Linked DNA regions of Neodiprion lecontei. The protein of the gene in region 1 purifies or fractionates together with the protein of each later gene. This does not show direct contact. Links are inferred from orthologs where the notes say so. Each region holds a gene or a part of one and is shown in the gene's direction. Other genes may lie near its edges.

Region 1 (7,605 bases):
ATTTGTGAATTATCCGTGATTTCTCTTCCCATGTTTCCGGTGTTTAGTCTACTCGATTATCTTAATTACTGCAGGTGTTTATTACTTTGGGTTATTACGGTTGAGATCGTAAATCAAAGGTTTTATGTGAAAGCTAATGTTGAAAGGTATAACGGTTAAATGGGAAAAAATATATACCATGTATGTTATGAATATGACTGATAAAATAACGGTTAATCTAGCGTATGAGGACTATCGATATAAGAATTTGGACGTTATGATGGTGACTATGTGTGTTAGTATTAATCTACGACTATCGGTAAGAGCACGTAAGGCTCTCTTATGGTAACTGCACGCTGGTCAGGTAGGGCGTAGGGAGGGCGCCGCCGTGGATACCGGCTGGCACGTAACACTGCGGAAAAACTAAAATATTTTGATCTCAACGCAGTGCGGTGCGGCGTGCCGGAGGTTGCCGCTGCCGGACTTGCGCCGGGCTCCTGATTGGTCACCGCAGCATTTGCCGGAGCTCAACGCATACATGGTGTGACGTCGGAACGGTACCTAGTGGAAATCTCCAGATGTTAGACACCGGAAACATTCACACACAGTTACAGCCAGACTCACATCAGTAGTTTGGGTCACCAATTACCGATTAAGTATTGAAATACACCGGACAACGGGCATTCTGTCGCTCTAGTCGAACGAACCGAAGAGGGAGAAATTGTTGGATAAAAGATTTAATTTGGCTTACCTTTTTGAGAGTATTCTGGATGCGATGACTTGTAGATTGGTGAGAGGTTTTTAGCGAAATAACCGACTTTAATATTTGGATATTTTGACTAACTTGGTTTATTTTATAAGTTTGATATTTAATAGTCACAAACGCAGAGTTACACAGTGTAAGATCTTAGACTTAGTAAAAATGGAGTTGAAGCTCGCTGAACTTTTGGGCAGAGTAACGTTGTATGAAAGTTTTAATGCAAAAGGCTAAAGGATTTTACCGCGAGACTGTACCGGAACTAGATGACGAATCTGGAGGTAGAAACACAAGAGAGCGATCGAGTGATCGGTCGCCGTTTTTATAGGGGTCGATCGTTGCGCAGAACGATCCCCCTCTCTAGTTTTTTGGTCGCCTTTGCGCACCTCCCCTCTTTTCTAGGAATTCTAATTAGGGCACGACATCTTCGCCGCATGCACGCCTGTGATCTTATTTCTTTAGCTATTACTATATTGTAGGTTTTTACGTATGGTATATCGCTGCTTGGTGCGGTGGTGTAGGTGCGTGGACTTGGTTCCGTAGTTCTCCGAACTGCGTGAGCTTTTCGTTGTGTCGCCAGTCCCCCTTTGTGGCGCCAGCCCCCTTTGTGGCGCCAGCCCCCTTTCTGGCGCCCCTCAGCCACTTAACTACCTGTCTATCTCTTACTGTTTTTGCTATCTTGCTCGTTACAAAGCCCATATTTCATTTTGGTTACCTGTCGTTTGTTAGTTTATTAGTTATATCTATATAGAATTGTATATGTATTATAGTCGACTACTGTCGTTGTTAGTTTTATAGTTGTATCTATATAGAATTGCATATGTATTAAAGTCGACTACTGTCGTTGTTAACCTGGAGTGCAATAGCAATTGTTTATGAACATAGTTTGTTATTTGTTTAACATTATTAGAATCACGCTGCTGCGAATATCTTTAGTTGTTTGTGTTATAACTATCTTAACAGGTTTAGAATACCTAGTAATTTGATGATTCATAGCTTTAGAGCAGGTTTACATGTGTGCTTTTGTATATGATTCCCTTCTGTAGTTGTTAATTCTTATATTGATATAAATCGGCTTGGAAGCTTCTAGAACGTTTTCGTTTCGTCGGTAAGTTTCCTAATGTATTCTCTAGGTAAGGCTCTGTATGGCTCCACATTGGAGATCTGCATTGCCTTCAAAACGTTGCGCGTGTTGCCTACAATACGGCGTTGCGGAAGAAGGTATAGTTCATGCTGGGTAATTAGCATTCACGGTTTGATGGTTTTGCAGTCTCTGGTTTTATGGGTTATTGCAGCAGTGCTATCTTTACATTATATTGGTTATGCATTTATCTATGGTTTTACAGTCTTCTATACTCCAGGCTATATAGTAAAGCGTATGTTGCTTAAGTATAGCTCTCAGCTCCGAATGCACAAATGGCATTGCTGAGTGCTATATAATAATTGGGTATAATTGTGTTAGTTAATTATAGTGTTAATGTGATAGTGATATATAATAACGTATAATAATATTATAGTTCTCTGTAGTACGAAGATCTCGTAACATGGTTTGTAAGCCTTGGCTAGTGAATTTCATAGTTATTTCCATCTAGGGGTATTCCAAATAGTTAGACAGTTGTTTTAATTTCTTATGGTTACAAGATTCTCGTACTTCGAGTTTGGTTAGTTGATAAAAGTAACATGCAGTAATAATAATCGATAAAACATACGGACGTTCCGGTCGGACGTTACACATGGAGTCTTAGCTTTCCTCTCTTTCGCACTCGGGGACACTTTCCATGCTTTTTCCGCTGCCAAGCTTTCTCCATGGTGTATGCTCTAAGCAATCGTACGCGCTCCACTGTCAGTGATATTTTGTGTGGTAAGCGTGAAACCGACAAATCCGACAGAAAGGAGTCTTACCGACGCGGATTACGTTGCGAACTTCATTATCTTCATGCTAAAGAGAGCCACCGAAGTTGCGATCCCGATCCTCAAATGACGCGAGTTTGTTTACTTGTCATACATTTACTGACAGCCAGATAAAGCCACGGACTTGGTTAAAGCAAAACGATCAGGAACGTCCGCATATTTTGATAACAGGTGAAAATGTTTCGGGAAACACCAAAGATCGTAATTGAAGATGCGACGGCGCCTAGCGCAGCTTACGCGCCCAGCGTACGCATGGAGGATTTAATTGATAAGTTGAAAATCCTCAATTACGACACTGAATTCGTACAAAATATGAAAATGAAACCTATAAACAGGTACGGTCTTCTTACTAACTAGGATCCTACTCATTTGCCTGCGTAATTTTTTCACCATGCGATATTAATTCAACAGGCATTACTTTGTTGTTGCGACCAATTCGGGGGAGCAGTTTTACATGTTTACTTCGCTTGCTGCCTGGTTGATAAGGAAAAGTGGAACGAGTTTTGAACAGCCGCAGGAATACGATGATCCAAACTCAACTATATCCATGATTCTCGATCACCTCAGAGCTATCGACGTTGCCGTCGAATTTCCTCCAAACAAATTAAAGCAGGGCGCTGGCGAGCATGCTATTTATGTATTGGACTGCCTCGCTGATCAGGCTATCAGAATTGTCAATTTCAAATGGAAAAAGTAAGCAGGAATGATATGAACAGGCTTGAATTATACCTACATTATTATTTCAAAGGGCATTGTTAATGTTTGATTCATGGTCTTAATCATTTTGTATTTGGGTGCTCTAGTTTAAAATCAAACCTGCAAAGATCTGCCTTTCGTTTTGTAATTTTCAGATTTCACAAATACGTTAAATTATATGCTTCCATTTATTCTATGTAATGTTATCACGAATGATAGTCAACATGCCAAATCGAAAGCCCAAAGTGGTTTCCCTTGAAACACTACGGATGAAAGTAGATCGCATATTTCAAGTGTCTTTATTGATGCAGAGTTGAAATACCCCCAGAAGATCCTACACCGGAACCTGAGATAGAAGATGACGATGCGGAGTTGATACTGGAAAAAGTTGAGGAGGAAATGTTGGCTGAGTATGAGGAGGAGGACGAGGATGACGTTTTACATGTAGATGACATAACTAAATTATATGGACAAAATATGGTAATTAGTAAACTAATTCAGACTTTGACAAATTTTTATTTGTACATTAGCGTCAATTTAGATGGTCGACAGAAAAACTGTAAATGCATTCTGTTACCTCTCAAATGATTTCACCGAAAATGCTATGATTAAAAAAAAATAAAAGTGCATGGAAAATTGAATGCAAAAAAATCCTAATTTTTTTAATACAATATTTTGTAGCTTGACATTCAGAAGCCGGAGAATATCCTTGAGTCTAAAACAGACATGGAAGAATGGAAACTCGAATTAGAGAGAGTCTTACCTCAGCTGAAGGTAACTGTAAAAACTGGTAAGTATTCAAATAATTGATTGATTGATTTCATGTATAGCGACGTGGTTTTTCTCAAAACCTTTCCTGGTTGTTAAACGTTTTTTATTTCAATTTCTGTATCAGAAATATATAAAACTTTCGTAATAAAAAAAGTTCATCATCTACAGATTCCCGAGACTGGAGAGCTCACTTGGATCAAATGAAACAACATCGGTCAAACATTTATGCGAATCTTGGCAATACAAAGAGCCAATTAGAGAGGTTGCATTCCGACATAGCAAGTACGTTGGATAAGATAAAAACACGAGAAATGTATGTAAACAGACAACTGGAGCCTGTCCTAAACGAATTTCAAACATTGCAAGTAAGCAAATGGATTTACTGTGATCTAAGACAATGTGATAAAGTTCACACAAGCCATAAAGACTACAGAGGTATTTACTGAATTTCATCATTTGGCATTGTCTCTGTGATCAGGAGGAAATGTCGAAAGTGAAGGAACAGTACAGAGACGTCAGTGGTGGAGTGACTGAGAGAACGAGAACTCTAAATAAATTAACTGACGAATTAGAGCAAGTTAAGCGAGAAATGGATGAGAGAGGATCAAGCATGACAGATGGAAGTAAGTAACAATTGCAGTTCAATACTAAACAATTTGAATTAGTTAATTATGGATCGTTGAGTGTGGATGTAAAAAAATTTTTCAACTTTCTTCCTGCAGCTCCCTTGATAAATATCAAAAAAACGATTACAAAAATGAAGAACGAAATCTCGGAGATGAACGTCAGAATCGGTGTTCTTGAATACAGCTTGATGTGCACCAGAGTTCGTGATCGTACTCAACTTCAGGAAGATATGAACAGTACAAGCAGCTCGTTGATGATTTGAGGAAAATTCAAGGTCATAGATACCTAAAGTTCGTGCATATTTTTCGTGTGCGACTGAAAGATTTGCGGGGGAACTTTTCTATCCGATCAGTTAATATTACTGTCTTTGGATTATTACCTAGGTTTTTCATACTTGGTATTAGAAATGGAAGTACTACAAACAGCATATCTGCATATTATTCATTTTCTCTTATTGAGTATTTAGTTTCGTTCCATAATATGTCTGAAGAAAATTTTTTCGGTAGCTGAATCTCTGGGTGAAAAAGAACGGAAAACAAATTGATCATAGCCACTATTAATTAATCCGAAAGACGTTTCCTTGACGCTATCATAGTGCCTTGTTCACCACCGTTATCAGTACCTGAGATCCCACCGAAATAGTTGATAAGCTATAACTATAAACGGAAACTACAACCGTGTCTAGGTAAAGATCATTGCACGGTTAGTAATAAGACACATCGCAACTTATAAACTAGTCAGCATAAATTGTTATCATTCCTTTGACATAAATGTATTTATTAAATTAATGATTCTCAGTCTTTCGCCGCTCATATTTTACATAAAAGTTATACGATAACCGATCACTTGTAGGAGTTATGAACGAAGTTTTTGCTGTGAAACACTATAGCCATGCATCAAGCATCGAAACTAGGTTTGTAAATTAAATTATGACAAAGTTCCGAACTCGCAGTTTTAAATTTAGTTATAAATCTATGATTACCTATCTTTTACCAAATTTTATTCCGTTGCGTCTAGTAGCAGTGGATAGAATATACTAAAATTTTGATGAAACTAGTGCTTAAAAGTCAATTTCTACGCACTAGTGTTTTACGCTCGTCAAGACATCCTTATTTTATGCGCACTTGTCACAAAAATTATTAGTTTTCGTATTTAGAGTGTAACTATTTAGAAGATACCAAACCCTAAACAGCTTCCGATACTGTGTAATAGCCATAATTCCTGCAAAACTTTGTATTTTAAAAAAGTTCTTTACGTTTTTTGTAAATCGCCATATTAACACATTCGTAACTGGGCATTCATTTTCTTTGTTTTCTCTGTTTTTTTTTTTTCACTCATAGTTCTGATTGAATTATTGTTTTTTTTTCTGCAGTCTCTTGGGTTTACAGTTTTTTTATATTTTTGATTACATAAACGCGGGAACGTGCTGAGATCGAGCAGTCAATCACCCATCAAAGTATCGCCGTATAGATACATATCGCATGCCGAAACCAAAACCGTAACATTTGGAAAAAAGTTTACTTACGAATATATGTTCAAATTAAAGTATTAAATGGTACTACATAAGTTTTGACGGAAGTGTCGAAGAAACGAAATTTTTTTAGTTACTGCAGTTTGATTTTGGTCCTGAGATATTATTCAGACATAAGTCACCCTCCTCAACTTCCCACTCTCTCCACGCTCTCTCCCGCTCGTAAGCAGTGTAAATCACTAATTCTCGTATTCCTTTTACGAGCTACGAAAGCATTCAGTGATGCGGTTTCCGAGTGTACAGATACATTTCTCTTGTCGCTGTTTTGCAACTATCCTTTGGAGGTGCTTATAAATCGAGTGTGCGAAAACCGTAAAACGACGTGTAGATAATTATACTACAGCAATAAAGCTTCCCCGTGGTTTTCCTCGTCCAATTGTAATTCGGATTAATCGAAGCTACCGTTTCCTCCCTCAAGATTTACGCGGTCCAACTATCGCCGCAGGTAATAAATGATCGACAATCGAAAATAATGGTGGATGGACATTAGACTGTAATAATACTAACGATAAGATTTTAAAAGCGGTTCTTACAGTTGAATATAAAGTATACCATTCCTTGGCAGGTTCATTATAAATTAAAATTTAATCATATCTAAGCGATTATGGTTTGTGTATAATGAACTTGTTATGTTAAAGCGCGCAACTGTCTGATATGGGACGTCACGCGCTCTTGCGCTGTTCCGTGTATTCTGATTGAAGTTTTTTTTTATTTTTTTTATCACTATATATTTATCCAGTTCTCGACGGTGCAGTAAATTAAGAAAACCGCGTTTTTTTCTTGTCAATTATTTTACCGCGAGAGTCGTAACATTCACGACAAATAACACGCTGGATGCCTCACGCTTGCAGCGTTTACACGTATGGGAATTTTCTAGTTATTGCGTTGAAGATCATTCGATGTGAAACTTTTCACTTTTCCGTTTCGCTGTGAACTATAACATCACAGTTTCTGCCACATACGCATAAAATAATACGTACCTATTCACATGTATGTATGTGTCGCAATGATACAGCTTTCTCTTCGCTGCACGGCTGAGAAACGATCGATATAAATTTTTCGTCAACACAAAACAATTTGAATTGGTATAACAATTTTCTGATGATAGAAGTGTTGCTACTTGTGGCGAATGTCGTTCGGGAAACGATTGACAAAATATTGCGAAGTAAATGTATTAATTATGCGTATAAATGACGTCGTCTGCATAAACGGGTGAAAGTAATTTCGAGGTGTTCATTTTAAAATAATGTTTATACGCTACAAGAGCTCGATATCTAATACGGAAGGACTATAAATAAAATGTTCTAATTGTAAAAATGTTTTAACGCAAGTG
Region 2 (7,309 bases), on another chromosome or scaffold:
CGGATCGGATGGGCTCGTGGAAACCCGGCGAGAATAACGAACTTTACAAAGAAGAGAACCGATTCCTTTCAACGGGATTGTCGGGATTAAAATATGCACCTTCGAACGGTATTGCGGAGATAAGTTTATACCCGCTACGCTGATTAGTATCCTGCAGGAACAAGAAAGTTCATTCCCTGAATATTTTATTGGAAATTTTCCTCCGAACGTCAGAATCTGGTTGTCGGCGCCATTTTATCACCACATAACCTAACTTTTTAATTTCAATGGCGGCAAATCGTAATTCTTGAGCTTTCAAACTACTCACGTCACATAAATTAATGAAATGTAATCAATAATACACCAGTTCTACTATCCACACGCGAAAAAACACTGTCAACGGTTGCAGCTTTCAGCCTGGTTGCATTAGTTTGATTTTTTTCCACCAGATGACGCATTGCAAGACGACAATCTCAATACAGTATACCTGTCATGTATGTCGACATAAATAAATAAATAAAAATAAGAAAAAAGAAAGCAATTTCATAAAAAAGAAATTAAAACCCTTTCTCGTGATCATATTTACCGAGTCGGAAGATATTACGCTACAGATCTAACCGGCTGGCGTCGCAAGACGTCCACGCTAGCGTTAAACTCCCGCTCGAGAAGGAACCGAACTTAGGCGCTTTGTTTATCTGAACCAAAGTAACGTTAACGCGAACCTCTCATCTCTTTGTTGCAATACGTGGTATGTAGATTGTAGATGTAGCCCGTTTGCCTTTCATTTGAAATCGAGGAGGATGATGAGGAGGGGAAAAATCCCGCGCAGCATCTGCTCTTTCCGGCGCGTCATTCGACAATCCGCTGCGTGTCCCCGACGCCATCAAACCTATTATGTATATACCTACCTATCCTAGGGTCATATATATATATAAGTCTGGACAATAGGCATGTACATCTACCACTGCACACCCGTGCAGGTGTACAATGGGAAATCTTTTCCGTTTGAGACACTTGGAAGACAGCCTAAGCTTTACCAGCAACCTATAACGGAAATTGACTCAACAAGGTTTTTCCAATTTTTTCATCCTATATTAGTATCCTTTCCGATTCTTTCGGTATATCTTTGGACTGTATAGCTCTTTTGCAGTCTTTCTCGAATCAGAAGCTATCCCTGATTAATTGGTCAATAATAAAAGTGCATTTCAAAGGTAATTGTTGCTGCTGCATTGGCTGACGCGGTTAGTGTGCAACTGCTGCGGCTTGTTAATCTTGCGTGTCGCAAGTCCAGAGCGAAAGTATAAACCAGGGTATAAACATATGCCACGTTGTATGTATAAGTTATGCGGTGTGTAAATTACTTGTAGTTTGATACATGCTGTATATATTATTAAAATTACGTACAAGGAGTTGTGGAGTAACTGAATGTGTGATGATAATGCAATTATTAAATGCATGTATGTGTACACCTATCTATCTTCAAGTGTGAGATATCAATGTGCCTACATGCTTTCGAAACATTAATTTCGGACTCGTTTTATCTACGTATGAAAAAAAGCTGCGCCCGAAAAATTCGAATTTCGTTACATTTCATTTGTCAGTTTATTCGATCGGCGTTGTTCTTGACAATGGCGATATTTAGCTGATCGTCAGTAAAAATATAGACCTGTTATACCTATATGAGAAGAAAACAGAAGAGGCGAGAATTCTGTACAACGACAAAAAGTTTTCATTGCAAATGTTTACGTAATTACAGTCATACGTGAGGTATGCGAATCGCTACAACGTGACAATACGTCAGACAATACCAATGTAAATAAACGGTTTCTTTATTGCTACGTATTCTTGGGAATATGTTGAGTTTTCTTTCTCAACTCACGATCGTATAAACATGGACAGGTTTGCAATGTCATTTATACGAATATAAATAGTAATTAAAAATTATGCAAAATTACGTTTGTGCAGCGTAAATTTGTGGTTGACTCGCACAATCAGGCACACATAAAATTTCCCGACGGACAAAACATCACCGGAGCCAAATGACAGCGGAAAGACGTTGAATGCATATTTCGTTGTCCTTTCGGCTACGATGTTGTTTCAGCGCTGTGTGATATTTTATCACTTACTGTTAAAAACGAGTAGCTTCCTTGTCGATCCAAGCCGTTTGATCGGCGATTTGATACCGTCGATCTCCTCCTCGTCCATAATAACCAAGTGATCGTGAAATCTTCGAAAACTTCCGACTTCAGCTCGTCGATGTTACGTGAGCAAACCTCTGGCAATATCCGTACACATACGTGAAATACGTAAACAAAAAATATGAAGATATAAACAATCCACTTGTCACAGATTTGAAAGCATTCTTTGGCACAGGCGATCAGTAAGGTTCATCGGTTGACAAAACCGGTTTAAGAAACCAGGTAGAGATTCGAAATTATATACGCACTGCTTGCTGGCAACCGTTGGAATTTTCTTTAACTCTATTTCTACCGTATGCAAACTGCGCGCTCGGTACCGCGTCCACGCACAACACACAATCAACACATAACAAACACATGCAAACGTGCATACGAGGCACTTGTCTTACAGTTACGCCGCGCAGCAACGCGTTGGTCAATTGTTTTTAAAGTTCTGTTCCGGTCGCCGTTGAGGGAAAAGTCGAATGGAAAGTGGCACCACTGACGGCCATGCGACCGACGTTCGTAGGTATACTGTCGTTACTGGTAATAGTGCAGCCGTCGTAGGTAGCCACTTCGAGGATATTCCTGGACTCGGATATAATGTATTAATTCAACTTAGGGGAACCGCCGCGTCGCTTTGTTGCTTAGCAACTGTTGACTACGCAGAGTCGACTGCTCGAAACGCGTGCACCACCTTTCTCCGTGGACTAATGCTACCCGGCCACCTGTTGGGTGCCAGGGAAACCAAGGTGGTACCATTTTGCCGATAACAAAGAACACTGTCGACAAGCTGCTAGCGGAGTTATGACATGACGTGGAAGGGGAGGTTGTGTTCCAATGAAATACCGTTTCCCCAGAACATATGACGGCCATCTTGGATTTTCAACCAATCGCATTTGAGATAATTTGGTGCACATTTGAAAGGGTGGAAACTTCGCACTTTTACATCATGACGTTGTTGCGGGGTTTACATGGCAACGCTAATTTGTACACAAATAAGAATTCGTTCATACCTGGTGAGCATATGACTACCAGGCAATTGTCAAGTTCTACACCTGCAAATCTCATCCTTCTTAAGAATCAATTTTACTGAATTGCTAATCATGGACCTTGATAGACCTACAACTGGTAGAGGTGCTGAGAGACCACTGACGCGTTGGAGAAGAGAGCAGGAAGACGTTTCCAGGCCGCAGAGTAGAATCGAGAGACCTTCTTCGAGGAGAGGGGCCAAAATGGACAGCCAGGAAATGCCTGTATCGAGTAATTATCGCGCAGCAACTGCTGCAACTCCTGGTAGAAGCGTCGTAGGCCGACCACCTTCTGCTTCGGCATTCTCTGCTAGAGTACTTAACTCCGCTAGCTCCCGGGTCAGCGCTACCAGCGGTGGATCTTTTGCTGTCCAAGGAAGACTTGGAACTGGCCTTCCATCTGCAGCTCAGGTCAATCTAGTCGACAGACCGATTACGCAGCAAGGAATCGCCGGACTTCGGCCTGGGACTAACAGGGGACTGCCCATGACCAGGCAAGGATTTTTGACGGTATAATAAGTTATTAAGAACACAGCGAATATCGTGATATACTTTAGATCGTTGCTTTAAATGTTGCAGACAAGTCCAGGATCGAAGATATTACGAAGGTCTCCTACAATTGAAGATACGAGAACTTACACAAGAAATTGCAGTCATAACGCGGCAAGTCGACAGTCAGAGTAGAGAAAGAGCAACTTTTCTTCACTACGATAAACGAGCCAAAGAATTGGCAGCGGAGCTTACAGAATTGCAGGGGCAACTGGCCGACTATAACATTGTTGTTGATAAAATGACTTTAGACCCTGACAAAAACTCTCTGGAAATGGAGGCTAAATCTTTGGCCGTGAAAAATGACCAAACTATGGCTGAGATAGAAAATTTGTTTGCTCATCGTCAGCAAAAAGAACAAGAGCTTCGGGCCATCGAGAGGGAAGTAGAATTGGAAAAGAAGAATGCAGAGAGAATAGTCGAAGGAATGACTATTGAGCAGCGTGCTAAGTACGACGATTTGACAAAACAAAAAATTGAACTGCAGAGTAGCATAGATGTTATGCAAACAGAGCTGGATCGACTATCTAACGAAAAATCGACCATGGAAGAGCAGATTGCACTTTCACAGGCTAAGCAGGAGGCTGTCAAACTTCTTGTTAAGATTTCAGAGGTTGAAGGAAAACGCGATAAACTACGAGAAGAAGAGAAGAATAGACTGTCGCCAGAAGAAGAGCGAATTCAACTCCTGGCCAAGGTAAAGCAGGATAATGCAGATGTCGCTGCAGCTGAGAGGCAAACAGCTGAACTTAAACGACGTATAGCTGAGGCTGAGCATGAGCTAGAACAGTTGGAAACAGATCTCGAAGAGTGCCAGTCAGCAAGGCATGTAAAGTACAAAGAGATGAGAAAACGAGAAGAGGCAATGGAGCAATTCATGGCCACCTTTGACAGGAGCAAACATGAAGAGCTTGAGAGACTTGATAAACTAGAGACTACAATTGTCGAGCATTTGACACAAATATCAAACTGTGTCTCTAGCGATACTCACTTAACTCCTGGTGATGAGTTGGCAATCCTGAACATCCAACATGCCATCAGCGAAGACCCGGACGTTCCTATTAATGTCGACCAAACTATCGAAGGATTGAGCAGCGAGCACACAAGGCTGCAGCAGAATTTAATAAAAATGCAGAGTCTCGAAAAAAGGCTGAAAGTCGAGTTAACGGAACTGAAAGAAAAAATAGGTAAAAAACAAAGTGAGTTGCTTGTCCTTGAAGATTTGGATGGATTGAAGGCAAGGTTTGAACAAAAGCGAGAAGAGATGATCGCAGAACGGGCAAAACTTCGTGAGCGCGAGCCGTCCATCAAACAGGAACTGGCTTCTGTACGTGGAGAGTACGAGGAGATCAAGTCACAGCTAGACAAAAATGAAACTTATGTACAGATAAGCTCGCTGGAGGATAAACTTGAGAAATTGAAACAAAATAATGAAACATTACAGAAATTCATCAGGGAAGAACGCGAACGAGTGGATTATAACGCAATTAAGAGCAGAGCACTCGAACTGGTGGATCGGTACAATGTTAAACTAAGGGAAAGCGTCAAAGGAATACATTAGTTTATGTACAATATTTTTACTATTTAAGATAATTTCAAATATTGTTAGCGTTTCTCTCTTTTCATCTTTGCTTGTAATTCGTCTGGTAATGAAACTTTCTGCGAGTTCAAGAAGTTTATTAAATTTTCAGTAAATTTTGGTAGTGGAATAATGTCCTCTGCCTGCATTCTATCCCATATTTCTAGCGCTGTTTTGTAATCACCAGACCTACCTGTATGACCACAATAAAATAAAGATTAAAGTCATAAATTGTGATCGAAAAATCTGTCTTGAATTATTTCTCAATTTACTTACTGCACAATGTCAAGATTAGATCGTAAATAATCCGTGTGTCCAGCTTCATCACATTTCTACACGCTTTCAAAATCCCTTGTAAGGCTGTTAAATTTTGCTCAGTCATCAAGTTTTTTGCACTGACTTCCATTGTTTTTTGGTTCACAGCTGGCATCTAAAAAATAAATCGAGTTATTTTAGTACAAGAAAGGTAATTGAATTACTACGAGAAATGATTCGTGTTATAGCAACAGCGATTAGAAGGTCACAATTTTTTTTTAAAATTCAGATTAGTCTTACTTTAATAAATGATTGGAGTTCCTTGTGTTTATTCCTTGCCGCTAATGCCGTGAACAAATGAGAGTTTCCTGCTGCTTCTCCAGAAATACTTTTTATCACCATTAGTACATCTGTCAACTGTTTTTGAGCATCAGGGTTGTCGGTAGAAATATCTACAAGAGCACGTAGCAGTTCTTGTTTCAGAGGTGTCAGTTTATACACAAGTGCACACTCTTTGAATTGTTTAATAGCTTCTTCCAAGTTACCATTTAATAAATTTGTCCTGACCAATGGACTGAGGACATGAATGCTCACTTCGCAATACCCTTTTTCGAGTAAGATATCCAACGTTTTTTTTGTGGCTTCCAGATTTCCATCTGCAGCAACTGCATTCAAAAGTCTCCAGCAGTTTCTGATAGTTTTGGGTCCACTCGTAACATTTTCCTGTTCTCTGAGTACTTCCAGACCTTTTTCGAATTTTTTATTCTTTACAAGAGCTGTAGCATAATCAATTACCTTGTAATCATCGATTATAAAGTCTTTGTGATTTGTCTTCAGATCTCTGAAATATACATCAGCCTTATCGATCATATTATTTGTGACATATAAGGAAAACATGCTGGAAATCATTCCGGACGTCCATTCAAATCCCTTCTCCTTAAACAATTCTGCAGTTTCCTCAGCTTTCTTAAAATTATTTTTTCTACAATAAGCTTGAAGGAGTCTTCGCAGAGTACCTCGTGTATTCATACCCTTAGCCGTTAGGTCAATGAGATGATTCTCCAGTTGTTCAAGACTCATTAATTCAGGGTGAGGTATCCATACATCCGGAATTTCATCATTTGTACTTGTTTCAGCAGTGACTAATTTTTTGAGCGTCTTCATTGACCTCTCAGGTTCCGCTAATTGCAATATTCTTAGCTCCAAAGCGTCTGCAACTGTTTTAGAAATCTTGAGATTGTGTTTGTCAAAGGCAAAAATAAGAGAAGCAAGTTCCTCATTGCTTGCTTTTATTCTTTCATTTGCCATTAGGTCCTCAAAGAATTTTCCATTCTGATCACTATCCGTGTTGATGTTTCTCAAAAATTGTACTGTTTCATTAAAACTTTCTGTCACTCTACATCCACTGACAAGTCTTTCTATGACAATGTACAGATCAAGTTTTACCTTGATTTTTTCTGTTAGAGCTATGGCATCCTTCAGGTTTCCTTGGTCTAAATAATTTGTCAACAAGACTCCGAATAGATCGGACATTTTCAAACCACAATCTTGCAATTTTCTAATAATCACCAGGGGCTTTGGTGCGCATAAAAACGGAAATACGTAATGACACAATGTCTCATCATCTAAGTAAACGCCATTCTCAACCATGTGCTTAACCAGCTTGAGCACATCAGTCTCACCTTTGGTTGAAGCTGTGTTGACAAGTAAGGGCCAGTAAAAGTGAGGTCTTATTTCAA
Region 3 (10,089 bases), on another chromosome or scaffold:
CTGATTGCTCCTATGCTCAAAACTCATCGAAGAGTCTGTAAATCAGTAAACAGCTATTATAAATCGTATGATTTTGACCTACCTGTAACATTTTTCCACATTATTGATGTAAATTTTGTTGCCTTTAAAGTCTCAATATCTATCAATAAGAAACTAAATTTATCTCTCCTAAACGTATGAATAGACAGAAAAAGATAACCAACTCACTGGTAAGGTAGGGAAAGTTTTCAGGTGCAAGATCTACTTGCAAATCGTGAAGACTATATTGATTTTTTGTTATATTCTTTCTGAAATGAAGGGTCAGATTATTTTGAGTGGTACTGTTGGGAGTTGTGAGCCATGAAATCGTAATATTCTGTTCAATGTCTTTTGAAGCACCGCATACGCCTTTGACTTGAGTTTCATTAACAGGTAGATCCAGTACAAGAAAGTCACTCTGTAAAAATATAATTTACGTATTATAGACAAATTGTAGTAAGGATTAGGTTGAAAGAATAATTTCATCATAACACATGGTCTACTGATCTGTGAATACTATGCTTCATTTTGATCAATATCTGTTTCTATCTGAGATTAGCACAGACCTTGTGATCGGTTGTGATGTATGTAACATTAAACTGAACAGCCATCTTTACTATAATACAAGTTTCGTTAGTCTCATTGACGATCCATTTTCCTATTTCTGGAGTTGGCACAGGTGTAGGTGTGGTCGTTGGTGTAGGCATAACTGAAGTTGTTTCGGTTGGAATTGGTGTAACCGATGATGAGAAAATTGTAGTTCCATTGGTAGGTTGATTTGTGTTTTCAGTAGAGCTGGCCACGAGGCTGTTCGTGTCAATAGAACTACTTGTTGGAACAGTTTCTGCACCTGAGAAAATTAAAACTGAATTGAGTTACAAATAAGTATGGGTTTTTTCTGTGACTGATTTGTGTTCAATTTTACCTAACTTACATATCTTTACCTTATAAAATTTTGTTGTAAGAAATACAGGTTGAGGATCGTTTATTTTATAGTAAAACATACATACTTTGTCAATAAAATGCAGATTATGAACAATCAAATTGTTGGTAGTTGAATGTTGGCTGGGATTTATATGTCTGTTGTGGTCTTTAGTCATCATTTATTTTCAAGAATGGCTTGACCTTTAGAGGCCGACCTGACTCTTTTTGGAACCAGCATAACTACGAGACTCCACGGGAGGTATTAACTATTTACATACATAAAACATGCCTCTAAAAAATATCGAATTTCAAGAGAAAAATACCAGTCCTCTAAAGGTTAAGAAAGGATTCATTTCATCTTGCAAATAAGAACTGACTATGTATACTGGCCTGTTGAGAGCAGAATAGCTCGCTCTTTGTTTTAGAGGATTCAATATCACTAAGGAAGTTCTGGTTTCACATATTGCTATCACTTGTTTCAGATAAGCAACTGACTTGACTCACAGTGTATAATGTACTGTACTTAATGACCTGAAGTATTAATATGAAATTGTTTATGTAGATATGCATGTAATGCGTGCATAAAAAAATGTGATGAATAAATAGCTTTATCCATAATTCATTGGGATGTTTTCAAGACATAAGTCAACAGTATCCATTATATTTACATTGAAGGTTATCATATTGTAAGTATATCCACTGTTAACAGTGAAATTTGATCTGCAGACCTCACAGTGTCTCTCAACCAGACTTTCAAATACTTAAATTTGTGTAAGCATACTTTTGATATTGGATTGTTCTTTCGATTTGAAACCGATTTGGACTGTCCTTAGACTTCAGGGTATAGTTAATATCTTATTGTTCAAAACTGATTGGGCAAACATCATACAATAAAAAATATCATGCTCCAACTTGGAAAAGATAAATACTATTAATCACATCAGACATTTTAAAATGTTGAAGTAAATATTCTCTTTGTTAATGATCGATTTATGTGAAAAGGAGATTAACAAACTAATTCAGCATTCTGCCAAAGTTGAGGGGAAAAAAGTTATTTGTAATCTTGAATACGTAAAGAATTGATATTGAGCAAAGATGTGTAGCAATATTCAGATTAGCAGAAGTTGACAATGTTGTTTTTCCAAAGAAATATTTTAAACAAGACGGAGTAAAGTACAGTCATATAGATGGACATAGCTCTGAATCAGTATTCAGAGATTGGAAATTAGTAATTGTACAAGATGGCATAAATTCATCACGGCTAACTCTTGTGTGAGCTGTCACATCAAACAATAATGCAACGTCACGAAACGATAACATCGATCATCTGCCATTGCAAGGATTTGTAAAGAACTCGGAAATCCTTCTGAAATAAAATTCCGACATTACCTGAATGCAGTACTGCCACCGAGCAGAGAAGAAACAAGGCGGTTTGGAACATTTCTAAATACAACGATAATAAATTTCCAGGAACTATTTACTTCAGCACTGATATTCACTCGAATATCTTATAAAATGCAAATCTCAAACAATGCGGAACTTTCCGAACAAGTTCAACCATAGGTACTCGAATGGCGTAAACTCGGTAAACTGCAAAATAAAGTTGACTATGAAGAAAAAACCAGTCTCCACAGCTTACGGATTTATGTCCCCAAACTGATCAGTTTTTACTGTAGTATATACATATAGGTATGTGACTAATAACGGCTGTGACGATCGTTCCAGGCCTGTGACGTCCTAACGAACACTGTCGGACACGTCCAACAGTTAGACTCCGAAATATGTCGTGAAATTACATAGACGCACAATCTGTAGTTTTCCGTTGTTAGCTAAATTTTTATAGACAGCAAAATGCTGCTGTAGTATTTTGACTAATAGGAATGCCAATTCGGCAGAGAAGCGCTACCCTAGAGTCGGCCTTACAGACCTGACTTTAGCGTTACCCACTAATCTAATAGAGATCTGTGGCATTATTACGCATTCTGATTGTTTGACTACATTTTGCAACCCAATCAGAATGCTTAGGTGGTGGAAAATGTGGAAAATGAACATCCGTAATAAGCACCCAGATATGCGTGGAATGCTAATTATTTATTTTCTTGGCATTCCTATTAGTCAAGAACTAGGCAGCTAAATACATGCGTTACTGTTACTTGCGTGGATCAGAGCATAAACCATGCACGCATTGTACAAAAAATTCAAGTTTTCTCATTAAATCGAGTTTATTATGTCAATAAATTTCGTGACGTCACTAACTGGCGGCAGTAAGCTGTCGCGCGATTTCGTAACGCGGTTGCCAGTACTTGCAGTACTGCCAGTATATTTTGGAATACACCCACTGTGAAGTTGGTTGTCATGACAACGTACCCGCGTAATGGCAACGCAACGTTGAAAATTACAATTAACTGAAACGTCAAAGATCGCAATACTTACACTTTGCCTCATTCTGTCATTTTGGTCACGGGTGAGATATTATCCAGAGCAATGCGATTTAAAATATCATTACGAAATACCAATGGACATAAAGGTTTAGTCACGTGTGTAGCTTGGAACTCTACTGAAGAAATATATTCTTGTGGGTATGCATACAAACACACAGTCCAAAACGACGTTTTATTTTCCATTGTGAATGTACTTATTCATGTATATAATATATTCCCAAACGCAAATACATACACACGTGCATACATTCCCTATTAAAAATAATATAGTTTTTCAAATTCAGACAAAGTACCATTTTAACATATTTCCACAAACTTGCAGTGAAGACCATATCTTGTTATGCTGGCGACTGGAAGGTGGCACAGTGCATTCATCAATAATTACAACTTTTCCATCTGAATTCTGCCCAACGGATATGCAATGGCATCCTCGGCCTATGCAGCCGAGTATGTCTTCAAAAAAGCAATCTTTCGATATCCTCTTAATTACAACAGCTGATGGTAATGCAACTATCTTCAATAGACTTAATTGTAGAATAAAAGTTAATTCTGTTGACAGGTAAATTTCATTTGATTAACAAAAATGGACGAATAGAGAAAAGCGTCGAGGCTCACAAGGGAGCTACACTCGTCGGCCAATGGAACAACGACGGTTCTGCCTTGATGACGAGTAAGGTCACTTACAAATTCAAGTATACAAAATGATTCAGTGAGAATAAAATATTCAGTGACTTTGTTTTTGTTAACTTCAAACTGCACACGTTTTTAATAGGACTGCCATATCTAAGATAATCGTTTGCTTAAATCACTGAAACAGCCGGGCACACAATGTTTTCTGTAACAATAGTCCTATGCGTAGTTCTAAAACTTATCCTCAATAATGAATTACAGCAGGAGAAGATGGGCTTGTGAAGATATGGTCACGCAGCGGTATGCTTCGATCTACAGTGGCTAGAGGCAGACAACCAGCTTTAAGTGCTGCATGGAGTCCGGACTGTTCTTCAATTCTATATGCACTGGGTGCGCACCTCTTGGTTCAATTTTTCAACACAAATGCTAAACCTCATAAGGTAGTGCTTCTATTACTAGTGGTTCTATTACTAACCACTATAAACTGTTTGGAGTCAGCTGCGGCCACAGTAGGGTATATTCTCAGTTGAGTACTAAATAATTGAATGGGCATTTCTTAAATTTACTGATAGTGGCATGGACATGATGGACTGATTCTAGCTGTTGCATGGAGCCACAAACACGGGCTTATAGTATCTGCTGGTGAAGACTGTCGATATAAGGTAATTATATTAAAATTATGCAAGTAGGTTTCATGTATAATTTATGGAAAATTTCATTATTTTACCAACTTTCTAATAGGTTTGGGACTCTACAGGTAACCAATTATACTGCAGTAGTGTGACGGAGCATCCAATTGTATCACTTAGTTGGTGTGCCAGCGGTGATTACTTTGCTGTCGGATCCTTTAATACAGTCCGATTGTGTGATAAAACTGGAGTATGTTATTCAATTTGGTCATATCATAATTATACTAGCATTTAGTTGACAGAAAAATAATGCGTTTGTTTCCAAATGTTTTTATCTTTCAAGTGGTCCCACGCTTTGGAGAAAGTCAACACTGGAAGTATTTATTCCATAGCATGGTCAAGTGATAGTACACAGGTAGCTATGGCATGTGGAGGTGGTGGAGTTCTTACTGCACATGTTATTGATAGGTATAAAAATGTTTCACATACTTGTACTACAAGTCCAGTGCACTTGACCTTCGAAAATTTTTTTGATATTTAATAAATTGATCACTAGCATAATTTCAATTTGTTGAATCAGGCGACTAGAGTGGAGCAACTATGAGGCAACTCTTGTTCGACGTAAGACGATTGAAGTCAGAGAAGTTGGTAGCGAGCGACATGAAACTCTTGAAATATCAGATCGAGTAGTTAAGATGGAATTTGGATTTGGTCACTTAGTCGTCATCACACCATCCCAGTGTCATGTTTATGCAACTATCAACTGGAATACCCCAGCTATATTCGATTTAAAGAACGGTTCTGTTTCTTCTGTAATTTTAGCTGAAAAGTATGTGCAAAAATATGAATAATAACATCAAATTAGTGCACAGAAAACATGCAGTCCATAAATCTTTTCTAAGGCTATCACAATTAATAAGTCATTTTTATTATAATTTTAGACACTTCTTACTTGTGGAATGGAATGTTACTACCTTGTATAGTTATCAGGGTCGCTTATTGGGTATTCCACGTTGGAAAGGCATGACCCAGGAACCCATTCATACTTCGTGCATCGCTCTCTGTTCTGACACGCTCGTTATTCGAGATCAGAGTAATAATAAATGTGAGTAATTGACTTGATGTACCTTTAATGTAGCAATGCAGTTGCCAATGATGATGCATATTTTTCAGTACTGCACGTTTTAGAAGTGTCTAGTAATAAACCAATTATGGAAGGGCAACCCCACACCCATCTCCAAGGAGTTTCTCAGCTTGCATTGAATCATGTTGGTAGTGTTACTGAGCGACAACTAGCAGTCATTGATGTTAATAGAGACTTGTTTCTAATATCAATTCGAACTAGTGGTTTTGGAAGAGTTTGCAAGATTGGTATGCACTTTGAATCAGCCACATAATACTCAAAACAGCTTAAAATTTGAATTATTACTCAAGTATCTTTACAGCTGTTATGGCTCAAAGTATTCAATGGGCTACAGATGCCAATATCTTAGTAGCGATGTTAGATGTCACCCTTTCTGTTTGGCTATGCCCAAGTTGCGTGCATTACAGTGATAAAAAAATGATTCGAAAAACAAGAATCGATAAAAACAACAGGTAAAAACAATAATGTAACCCATGTAACAAATTAGAGTTACAACACAAGTCCTTCATTTGTAATACGTGTATGTAACTTTAATGACTTTGTGAATCGGTAGCGAATTTGGAAAGCAACCAGATATAGTGTGTGTTCAGGGAGGATTAGTTACTGTCAGGCGAGGAGATGGTGCTCTGGTTACATCTGCCTTTTATACTTTCTTTACGAGTTTGCACCAGCATATAATAAATAATAGATGGCAAGATGCACTTTCCTTGTGTCGAATTGCACAGGTAAATATCTTGTTTAAATTAAATAATCAATTATAATGGTTTCATTCAGTCTTTAGCAGTTTGATCTAGAACATTTTTACAGACAATCGCATTAATCATTACAGAAACCTTGATTTTTATAGTATATGTTGTATGACAAAATTTTACATACTAAAAGTATATGACTATTTATATTTATATGCAACACAGCTTACAAGATATTTATTTTTACTTAGAATGATATACTGTGGACTTCTATGGCAGTTATGGCAACAGATGCCAAAGAGTTGAGTGCTGCAGAAGAGGCATATGCTGCTATAGGCAGATTTGATAAGGTTGATTACATTCAGTACATTAAGGTGAGAAAACCACAACTGTAACTTATGAGCAATCAGATATTGCGATTATACTCTTTCAAATAATATACCTAAGACGTATACATGGTAGTTGAAAAATAACATTTCACATCATGCTTATTAAAAGAGGATCCAACCACACTGTCGGTAACAATTAAATTTTTGACAGCTCTTGCCAAATAAAATCGAAAAACTGGCTGGAATGACTTTATTGGCAGGTGATTTGTTGGCTGCAGAAGGAATCCTCCTGCAAAATGGCTTAGTTGTTGAAGCGATTCATGCCAATATCAAAATATATAACTGGAACAGGTATATTCATGATAGGTTATTGTTCTGCGAATTTTAATACTAAATATCTAATCAATAAATACAGCTGATTTACGCTTTCATGATAGGGCATTGGAGCTCGCAACCAGGCATAAGAAAGAGTTGGATACGGTACTACAGGCTCGCAAAAAGTATCTTCGTATTCTAAATAAACAAGAAACCAATCAATTGTATTTAAGTCTGACGGTGAATACATTGAATGAGCAGGTGAGGATTATTTGTTCTATATTAGTCCGTCCATTCAACATTGAAAATACTCGTGATATTCATTTATCATGCACTATTTTTCTCATTCTTAACCAGCTCATGTGTCAATAATGAAATTTTTTTTTAATGGGTGGCTAGGAAGTTCACTTAATGTCCGAACCAACTGAAGAGCCGGAAAAGCTTGACAACGAATCTGAGAAGTTGAACTTCTTGGAATTGTAATTCACAATTTCAGGTCAGTGTACTACATATCACGAATTATCAGAGCATTGTAATAAAGCAGCAATAGAAGTGACGTGAAAGTGTCTCTTTGAAAGCACTGCTAAAGCACTAACAATATGTAGGTATTTCAGAAAATTTTTTCGCAGATTGAGAGACTTTATAAGAATTTTCCAGGACATGCTGTTTGATGTAATGTAATCTTCAGAGAAAAATTTGCTACCAGATTATGGGAGAAATGTAATACTTAACTCAGTGTCGTAACATAGGCACAATAGGCATGATTTCATCCCCAGAAGCTATGCATTTCTTATGGAAGGAAAAAAAATTTTGACTGTGAAAGATTAATGTGACCTCTGGTTGATTATCTCATCATTTCTGAGTTGCTCGAAAAGTATTTAATTTTTTTGAAAACCCCTTATGGCTGATAAATGTGTATATGAGCATATTACAGTTCTCTAATTCTTTCTGAATAACTTTTAGTATTTCTGATATACCAAACTTTTTCACATATTTCAGTGACATTCCGAAAACGATTTTATCAGTGAAAGAAAAGAGTAAAACCAACCAAATTAAATTATAATTATGGACTTATTTTGCAATAATTATAATATTATACATCTGTTGTTCAATGTAGGCTAGTTGTCACGAATAAAGTATTCTTATAATACTAACTGAGACCGAGCCATGTTATACGTCACTGTATATTATTGGCAACAATTGGCGTAAGTTTGATACCTACTAGAACATTATGAATCTGGTTTAATTTTGGTATACTACAATTAATGCACAAAGTGTTAAAAATTGTCTTCTACTGTATCTATTAACAATGTCAATATATTAAATGTAGGTATCTTATGAAAAGATTTCGCTGATGATATACCTCTTACCTTCCTCAATTGTATAAAAATATCCTAAATAAGTTTTTATGAATATAGAAATATCACAGCTATGAATATGATAGTCAATAAAAGGAAAAGTGGAAGCCCGTAAACCTGCCAAATAGTCGGTTTTACCACAGGCCTATATCGAGTTGTCAGGGCACTCTGAAATCATTCAAATTTTGGTTTGCCTGTTACATTTAGTTCATTGTATATGGTATTCTTAAAAGTCATTGTGCACCAGTTGCTCTGGTTAATTAACATAAAATTTACTGATCATCATTCGATGAGCAGTTCCTTGATATTAACTATTTACCCATCCTCCGTTAGCTTGAATCCATGCAGCCAAATCATCCTCGAGAACTTCCATCATTCCATGTTGGATAGCTGGGAGATACTCTGGTTTTCCTTGGCGAACACAGTCCACTGCTATTCCACCAGCAACTGCATACAAAGCAATTATCTTGCTCCAAGTCATTTCCCCGTTTCTCAACATTTCCCTTGATACATCAGTCAACACATCACTGGCAGCTTGCTCCGAACTGAAGGTACTACATCCCACTTGCCGTCCGATTTTTGTGAAAAGATGAGGATGCATTTTCTCTAACTCTGCACCAATGCTTGTGAGCTCCGGATAAACTTCTCCAACTACTGTACCACCTGGAAGTATTATTTCGCTTCTCAATCTTTTTAATCCCAATTTTCGGTGAAAGATTCCTGAACGCTTCAATCTATTGCGAATGTATTGGCCACACAAGGAAGTTCCCTGAAATAAAATATGCCAACTGTCAGAAGACAATTATTTTAAATATTCCATGTTTTTACATACCTGAGACACTGCAATTTTCACAGATGCAGATACTGATCTCCAGCCAATGGTGTGCGATAACTTTCTAGATACCACGTCACTAACATTGCTGAATCTTCGCCGTGCTGAACCAACTACGTGAAAAGACGTTGATTCGTGGGTAGATCCGAGTCCGAGCAAATTGGAATGCAAAGATGCTGCCAAACTGCTCCTTCGATGAATAGCCTTTGCTCCACCATCTTGGCTACGGCTACTCACGACAATCCCTGACATGGTAAGTAAGAAAGTATCTTCCCATTCAGGTAACAACTTATTATGTTGTCCGCTATTGAACAAGTTTTACAGGTTTAAAAAAGATATAATATTTGAATAATGTCGATTAATTAGACTATCAACAAAGACTCTTGCGAATACCATACTATTAATTTGTTATTTTTAGAAATTTCCTCCTCTTTATTTCATGCACAGCAAAGTATGCTCTCCTAAATCACTTTGATGCTTTAATGATACACACAGATATGTAGCAGGCACGACTTCTGAGCTGTTCAGCAGGAACTGATGATTCTCATGCGGAGCACGTTATGCGTTGTTGATCCGAAGACCTTCTTCAGACTACCAGTGAAAAACAAGTAGTCTGTAATTATATGCATGAGCTAACAGGGCCTTTGGCTTAGGAACACGGATGAATATTGCAAAAGGAAGCAAAACATTCAAGTTTTTCGTCATTTTCGTGAAATATGTAATCTTTGTTGCATAAATAATATAGATAAATATTACAAATGAGAACATATTGTAGCATAC
Region 4 (6,466 bases), on another chromosome or scaffold:
ACTCTGTTCTACCCCAGTCGGAAAATCTCCACCTGAACGTCTACTTGAAACTGCCATATGTTACAATACAGCATCCGTCAAAAATTCCTCTCTGTTACCTGCTTTAGAACAAGCTATGGGTGGTTCGCAATTTGTTACATCTAACCTGAGGACTAGGCTCGGGCATTATATTGGTAAGAGCATAATCCTTCTCTCTAGAAAATATTCCAAAGCTGTGAATATATCAATAAATTTAATTTTCGTTTCAGATCACGTTATAATGGTGAAAGATGGACACCCACTTGCGTTGAATTTTCTACAAGAGGCACAAGAATACAAACTTGTAACGCACATAGAAGAAATTGTACCTCCTGCTGAAAGCCAAGTGTAAGAATAGGAATTTTATATATTTATGAATGCTTAAAAAGTGTTCATTAACTTCAGCAAAAACAAAGATGTATTCCCCTACTCGCGAAATTATTCGAGAATTAAATTATGTTATTGTAATTTCAGGATCATGGTGATCAATTTGCCTGACCATGCATACGCCATTAATTCTCGTCGCCTAAAAGGACCTTGGTCATTGATGCTCAAAACTTTGGAGAAACATACAGGACACGCAGTTATTCCCATAAGTTCACTAATGTGGAATGATCTCATGGATTACGAGAAAATTCCCTATCTTATGCAAGCTATTCGCCTAAAGTGCGACAAAGTGTCGACATCAACAAACGTGTGATAAGTAGCATGAGTTTCTATTAACATTCAATTTTATTCAATAACAGAATCAAAATGAACTGACGCTATTACCGGATGTAGGTTTCGAAAACTCTGAACTGTGTTTAGAAACGTAAATGAGATACTCCAGTTGCTTCTGCTCGTAAAGAAAGATTTTATTTTACTTTTGCTACGTCTAATTTGTTTACACCAAAATGAGTTTTCATCTTAGTTATAGAGAATGTAAATAAAAGTATTTATTGATAACAAATATTGTTGCATAATTTCTGCCAAATGAAATGAGATATCTTCATGGTACTGTATCTAAAAGCGAAAATGGGAAAATGAGATACATAATCGCACAGATGTAAGGTTTGAAAGGAAGGAATATTATGCTTGAAGGAATATACAACGAACGAAAATAATCTGTTCCAGTGAAGAAGTAAGATGCTGATGTATAACAGTTTATTATATCAAAATATATAATATATCAACAGGAATATAATCGTCATTCTATTGCTACTCGATAAGTTTGTCGATTGATAAAAATAGCATATTGTAAATGGTTAAAAGCGTAAAACATACGTACAAGCCAAGTGTCAAAATCTGCATCATTATAAAAAAAAAAAAAGAATTGGACTCCTATCTGGCTTTACGAATAATGAGAGAATTTAGAAGCGAGTTAAATGCAGTTTTTTTTTTTTTTTTTTTCATGCGATAATAAAAAAAATTTAGTTTCTTTGAAAATATTTATCAAATATAATCATTATTGCGGAGAATATAATAGTCTTGCAATATCTCAAATAGTCAAAGTCTAAAGTTTATTTCGTAACGGATTGATCAACCGTACAGTTGAAGAGTATCGAATGAGTGAATGCATAAATAAAAATCATAAATAAATACGATAGGAAATAAATTGGCCGCTTTTGTAGAAGCAGATTAAAAGCTGCCTATTGATACAAGGAAAAATACATTTCGGAGCACCGTATTCCTAGCACCATTTTTCTGCCCTTTGAAGAAAATCTGAGCAACGAGTAAAACAGGACATAAATCATCATTGATTGAGTCCGAATAATTTCAAACCATTGAAAGCAGTGGCTAGGGCAACTTCCTCCGGCGACTTGCGCATGAATGCGGCAACCATTTCAACTATCGCAGGCAAGGCACATGGCTCGTTACGTTGAAATGTGCAGTACCGATGAAGGAAGGTCATGGAGCGCTCAGTCAAGGCGTCTTTAACGTGAGATGGTAGTTTGCTGGCCCTTGTATTTGGGTACATAAAAGGAGCATCCGTTTCAACAAGGATTCTGTCCAGAAGAGCTTGTCCTCCTTCCAAAAGCTGCCTGACGCCGCTGTCCGATTTGTCCTTACAGAGATAGCCGGTGATGCCGAGGTAAAATCCTTGGTCCAGGTAGAGCTGGGCCTCTTCCGCCGTACCAGTGAAACAGTGAACAAGAACAGGGGGTAACCGGTTCGAGTAATGGCTTAGAACTTCCAGTACATCGCTCTGGGCGCTTCGTTCATGAATTATCAATGGTTTGTTGAGCTGGCAGGCAAGTTCGATTTGCTTGTGAAATACATTGCGCTGCGTTTCAGGGTCAGAGAAGTCGCGGTTGTAGTCCAGGCCGCATTCCCCGATTGCGACACACTCCGGATTACTCGCGATACTCTCGAGCTCTTGCAACGTCTCGTCATCCTCCCAGGACTTGGCGTCGTGAGGATGAACTCCTGCCGTTGAGTACAAGGTGCCTGGGTATATTCTCGTCAATCTCAGCGCCTCCTTGCTCGACCTGATGCTCGCTCCAGTGACCATGATCTTCTTGACACCGGAATCCTTTGCCCGCTGTATAACGCTGTCTAAGTCACGACTGTACTTTTTATTTGTTAGATTAGCGCCAACGTCAACCAGTATGTAATTCTCGTAGCATTGTGTCATCGCCGCTGAGGAAGCCTTTGGCGACTCCGTGCAGGATCCACTGGCATTTTCGGCCATGCTATTTTACTTATGTATATATATTTTTTTTTACGTGCAAATTAAGGAATTAACAATAATTGGACCGATTTAAATTTTCAATTCACTACGGTTATTATGATTATTGTTATTACCGGAACACGTTAGCTTGCATTTGATATATTGACGAACCGATAATCACAGCTGTAAAGTCAAGTTTTTTACTACAATATTTTTGTTACGAACAAAGATCAGACCACAATGAGGTAATCTCTAATTCCCAGACACGTTGCTTAATGCTTTCTCTACCGTGTATCATTTGTAACCAGTGTTGTGGATTGCACACGATCATATGCCCCTCTACGTGCGTGTGTGTGATCAACCCCTGCGCTTGTCTTTCATTGGCTCAAAGCCGGTACCCAATGAACCATTCACTCGCGACCGAAATCGCTCGCAGTTTTGATTGGTCCGAAAGCTTCGTTCGAACCTCCTCGACCAATGGTATGCAGTGTTTCTACTTTGCCGTTGACTGCCTTTGCTGCGGATGAAGCTTAACGAATTGGACTGATTTGTGACGCACAGGCGCCGCTCGAGTGCTATTTTTATCTCTAGATAAATCCCCTTGACAAGGGTCACGATTGACGTTCATTAAACCACGCTTCAGATGTCTAATTCTTCGATTAATTCTCCCAAGAGGTCGCGTACCTTTTCCGTTGTACCGGAATAACATAAGGATTAGGTTCACAGAATTTTCGAGCGAGAATAAATGAATAGCTGTCCCTCTTCCTGTACATATTATTGGTATTAGTTCAAATTTCCTTACACGAAATACATCAATCGAAAAATTTTAAGATTGATTGATCGGCGACAAATGCTGTTTATGAAAAAATATCAAGGAAAAATGACATTCGTAGTGAAATGTATATTGTGCGGGCAACTGTTGCCCCTTGCTGGTTACCATGGCAATAGAATACTAACGTATACACGTACCGTATGGACACAGAAAGCCTGAGGCAATTCTTGAGCGATGAGTAACGACGAGCAATTGAAAATTATAGTAGTGGGACCTATCGGAGTGAGTTTTTCAAACAAAATCTGTACAGCACGTGTTTATAATTTTGCAGTACAATTATTTGAAATTTTGCTTTAGCCTTCATATTATGTACGTAGATATTTTTAGTAGTCAGAAAAATTGTTGTAATTTCAATATTTATGGTTCATATATTTTGCAGAGCGGCAAGACTACGATATCAAATTTTCTTGCGGATGCAACAGAAATTTCATCAGAACACAGGCCTACCAAAGGTGTTCGAATACTTGAATTTGAAATACAAAGCATCAATGTCAGGAATAAATTTGTCAAAGCTGAAATAGAATTGTGGGATTGCAGCGGCGATCACAGGTAAATTAACCAATATCGCTGTGATTCAACGTCTACGTCAATGACTTTGCATCTCTTTTAGATTCGAGACCTGTTGGCCAGCTGTAAGAGACAAAAGTCATGGTGTGATTTTTGTACACAACGGTAAATCACAGGACTATGTTCGTGAGCTAGAACAATTGTACGATTATTTCGTTAATCAAACTGGGCTTGGTCCAACAAATTGTGTCATCTTTCATCACGATCAAGATAATATCAGTGTCGAAATTCCTAAAAAGATGTGTAAGAAATGATATAGTGATTTTATTTTTCTCCTCACATGAACTATGTATTAATTATAACTTGCTGTTTTATTACAGCGCCCAAGTTGTCTAGAATATCGCAAGTAAGCTGTAATACTGAAGAAGGTGCCAATAAATTGAAAGTTGATTTTCAATCGTTTTTGGGAACTCTGATCAGCAAGTTGCAAGAGCACACAGATCAGGAAGAGATGAGTCTTATGCGGGATAATATATTGTTTGCCGCTTAAAGAAAAATTTAAACTCAACTTAGTATTACTACTTGAATAGTTGAAAGTGACTTACTAAATTGAATGTAGAGGTAAGCGAATTATGAAACATCTGATTGTGGTAAGTTGTATTTGGCATTAACATGTGATTTACAGTCAACAGTAATTAATAGTATAATGAATTACTTTTTAATACATTATTTTTGTCAATGAGCGGTAAAAATGAGTGTTTTCAAACGGAAACAACGTGAGTAAAAGAAAAAGCAGGATTCACCACAATGATAATATTCTATACTTGAACGTCGCAAGAATAAGGTGTCCTTAAGCTATTAATTATTATACATTGTACGTAATATTATCCTACTCGATAAAATACATTTCTAATTTCAATACTTTTGTTCTGTATTAAAATTTAAGGTTACGAAATAAAAGTAAAGTATTTGCTAATATAATAGCAAATAAACAGAATAAAATTTGATCAATTGAACAGATGATTCGGAATTAACAAAAATACCTTTGTACTACTCACGATTTCAACAATCTATGATCTTGAATAAACACAGAGTTGTTCTACAATCTACATAAACGTCAATATCAAGCGAAAGAAAAATAGAGTAAGTGTAAAATGGAAAATCGAATCACCCCAACAAGATGTTTGTAAAAGAATTCAACACATCATGTCTTCTGTATGATCCATCTTTGTTTCTTCGGGATATGTTAAACCGTAAAGCGCGGACAAGGCAGTTTTAGCTGCCATTTTTTTGGCATCCTTTTTATTCTTGGCTGTAAAAAGAAATAGATTTGTTATCACCCTCAAAAATAAACAAATCGCATCAAAATAGCAAAATACTCGGGAAATCAGTAATTACGAAATTTCTTACCAGAACCAGGATACTCATTTCCATCGATTTCCACAGCTAAAGTAAACATTGTGTTTGGTGGGTTTCCGGTACGATTAATTTCCACATATGTCAACCCAGGCTTCATTTGATTGAGCAACATGACAGGATGAATGTTGATCGCATTTATTGGTAAATCTTTTTCAACCGGAGCCTTTGGCTCCTTCTTACCACGCCCAGTAGAAACACCTGGTCTTGGTACTGGGACTACAGTGCCCTGATTTTGCCACTCCAAAAACAGCTTGTAGAGAGCAAAACTAGCCAAAGAACTCCAGGGCACTTCATCTTGTTCTTCAGTAGCCGTTTCCGGAGGGCAAATTGCCATTTCGTTGCCTTCCTCTTTGATAGGTGGAATCTGTTGGGCTGATTCTGGTTGTATCGATTGCCCATCCGATTCAGCGTCAATTCGTGCTTTACTTGTGGCTGTTGTCATTTTCTCAAGGAGCAAACACTTCAACGCATTCTCAGCAGCATTCTGTCGCGCAAGTGGCTTAGACAATCCTTGGCCAACGTAAGTCTTCCCGTCAATCTGTAAGTATAATTTCGTCATTTTATTACTAAATTTTGGATAACAAAACGAATTGCGATTATTTGCGTGCAGGCATCCAATATTCCGATGATAACTGGATAATATATCAGTGGATGTTTCTTTCAGTGACAAATGCCGATTTCTACATGCAAACTTACTTCGGCGTGCACAACGAATAGTGAGTTCGGCATGGCTGCTTGTGACTCCGGAAAGGTGAATTGTACTCCAGTCTTCATCTCATTCAATACCATGATCGCATTTTTAGGCTGTAGAGCCTTCCTCAGTCGTTGATTCATCCTAAGCCGCTTCAGCTTCTTATTTACCTTATCTTAATGAACATGTTTCAAGTGAGTATATCAAATTATGTGTAAATTCGATGAAAGTCTCAGTAAAATAACAATCAATCAGTCCTAATGTTCACACGAGTTGTTCAACTGCTACAACTCGACAACTAAAACTTTGGAGTATGCAGCTAACTGTACAACTTTCAAATTTGCGCAGT

What was found.
Region 2: the proteins of intraflagellar transport protein 57 homolog (region 1) and intraflagellar transport protein 74 homolog purify together in Homo sapiens (affinity purification with mass spectrometry; 3 studies listed by BioGRID and IntAct, counting the BioPlex papers as one, with this or other methods). This does not show direct contact. The link is inferred for Neodiprion lecontei from reciprocal best matches to the Homo sapiens genes IFT57 and IFT74.
Region 3: the proteins of intraflagellar transport protein 57 homolog (region 1) and intraflagellar transport protein 80 homolog purify together in Homo sapiens (affinity purification with mass spectrometry; 3 studies listed by BioGRID and IntAct, counting the BioPlex papers as one, with this or other methods). This does not show direct contact. The link is inferred for Neodiprion lecontei from reciprocal best matches to the Homo sapiens genes IFT57 and IFT80.
Region 4: the proteins of intraflagellar transport protein 57 homolog (region 1) and intraflagellar transport protein 22 homolog purify together in Homo sapiens (affinity purification with mass spectrometry; 3 studies listed by BioGRID and IntAct, counting the BioPlex papers as one, with this or other methods). This does not show direct contact. The link is inferred for Neodiprion lecontei from reciprocal best matches to the Homo sapiens genes IFT57 and IFT22.

What each region holds. Positions count from the first base shown.
Region 1 is NC_060262.1:42,130,053-42,137,657, reverse strand, and holds intraflagellar transport protein 57 homolog, read left to right. Parts: upstream 1-2,524; 5' UTR 2,525-2,824; coding exon 2,825-2,982; intron 2,983-3,058; coding exon 3,059-3,340; intron 3,341-3,654; coding exon 3,655-3,823; intron 3,824-4,024; coding exon 4,025-4,133; intron 4,134-4,282; coding exon 4,283-4,479; intron 4,480-4,592; coding exon 4,593-4,737; intron 4,738-4,836; coding exon 4,837-5,003; 3' UTR 5,004-5,541; downstream 5,542-7,605. UniProt on the Homo sapiens protein: Required for the formation of cilia. Plays an indirect role in sonic hedgehog signaling, cilia being required for all activity of the hedgehog pathway.
Region 2 is NC_060260.1:40,246,663-40,253,971, forward strand, and holds intraflagellar transport protein 74 homolog, read left to right. Parts: upstream 1-3,183; 5' UTR 3,184-3,262; coding exon 3,263-3,681; intron 3,682-3,766; coding exon 3,767-5,297; 3' UTR 5,298-5,341; coding exon of another isoform or gene 5,342-5,508; 3' UTR 5,509-5,560; downstream 5,561-7,309. Other genes in the region: SLIT-ROBO Rho GTPase-activating protein 1, read right to left, coding at 2,106-2,184; leucine-rich PPR motif-containing protein, mitochondrial, read right to left, coding at 5,342-5,508, 5,592-5,745, 5,871-7,309. UniProt on the Homo sapiens protein: Component of the intraflagellar transport (IFT) complex B: together with IFT81, forms a tubulin-binding module that specifically mediates transport of tubulin within the cilium. Binds beta-tubulin via its basic region. Required for ciliogenesis.
Region 3 is NC_060261.1:34,087,220-34,097,308, reverse strand, and holds intraflagellar transport protein 80 homolog, read left to right. Parts: upstream 1-3,279; 5' UTR 3,280-3,426; coding exon 3,427-3,521; intron 3,522-3,705; coding exon 3,706-3,884; intron 3,885-3,942; coding exon 3,943-4,053; intron 4,054-4,274; coding exon 4,275-4,453; intron 4,454-4,585; coding exon 4,586-4,675; intron 4,676-4,754; coding exon 4,755-4,892; intron 4,893-4,985; coding exon 4,986-5,110; intron 5,111-5,222; coding exon 5,223-5,471; intron 5,472-5,583; coding exon 5,584-5,747; intron 5,748-5,815; coding exon 5,816-6,013; intron 6,014-6,087; coding exon 6,088-6,238; intron 6,239-6,339; coding exon 6,340-6,511; intron 6,512-6,544; exon of another isoform or gene 6,545-6,726; coding exon 6,727-6,849; exon of another isoform or gene 6,850-7,015; coding exon 7,016-7,155; exon of another isoform or gene 7,156-7,241; coding exon 7,242-7,380; exon of another isoform or gene 7,381-7,518; coding exon 7,519-7,602; 3' UTR 7,603-7,615; exon of another isoform or gene 7,616-8,525; coding exon of another isoform or gene 8,526-8,645; intron 8,646-8,796; downstream 8,797-10,089. Other genes in the region: lysosome-associated membrane glycoprotein 1, read right to left, coding at 1-35, 208-436, 585-868, 2,332-2,383; bcl-2-related ovarian killer protein, read right to left, coding at 8,526-8,645, 8,797-9,246, 9,310-9,561.
Region 4 is NC_060263.1:3,109,857-3,116,322, reverse strand, and holds intraflagellar transport protein 22 homolog, read left to right. Parts: upstream 1-3,186; 5' UTR 3,187-3,674; coding exon 3,675-3,722; intron 3,723-3,879; coding exon 3,880-4,049; intron 4,050-4,110; coding exon 4,111-4,310; intron 4,311-4,387; coding exon 4,388-4,557; 3' UTR 4,558-5,134; downstream 5,135-6,466. Other genes in the region: uncharacterized protein LOC107224312, read left to right, coding at 1-173, 249-366, 493-718; 3'-5' ssDNA/RNA exonuclease TatD, read right to left, coding at 1,751-2,689; mediator of RNA polymerase II transcription subunit 15, read right to left, coding at 5,204-5,319, 5,418-5,964, 6,123-6,292. UniProt on the Homo sapiens protein: Small GTPase-like component of the intraflagellar transport (IFT) complex B.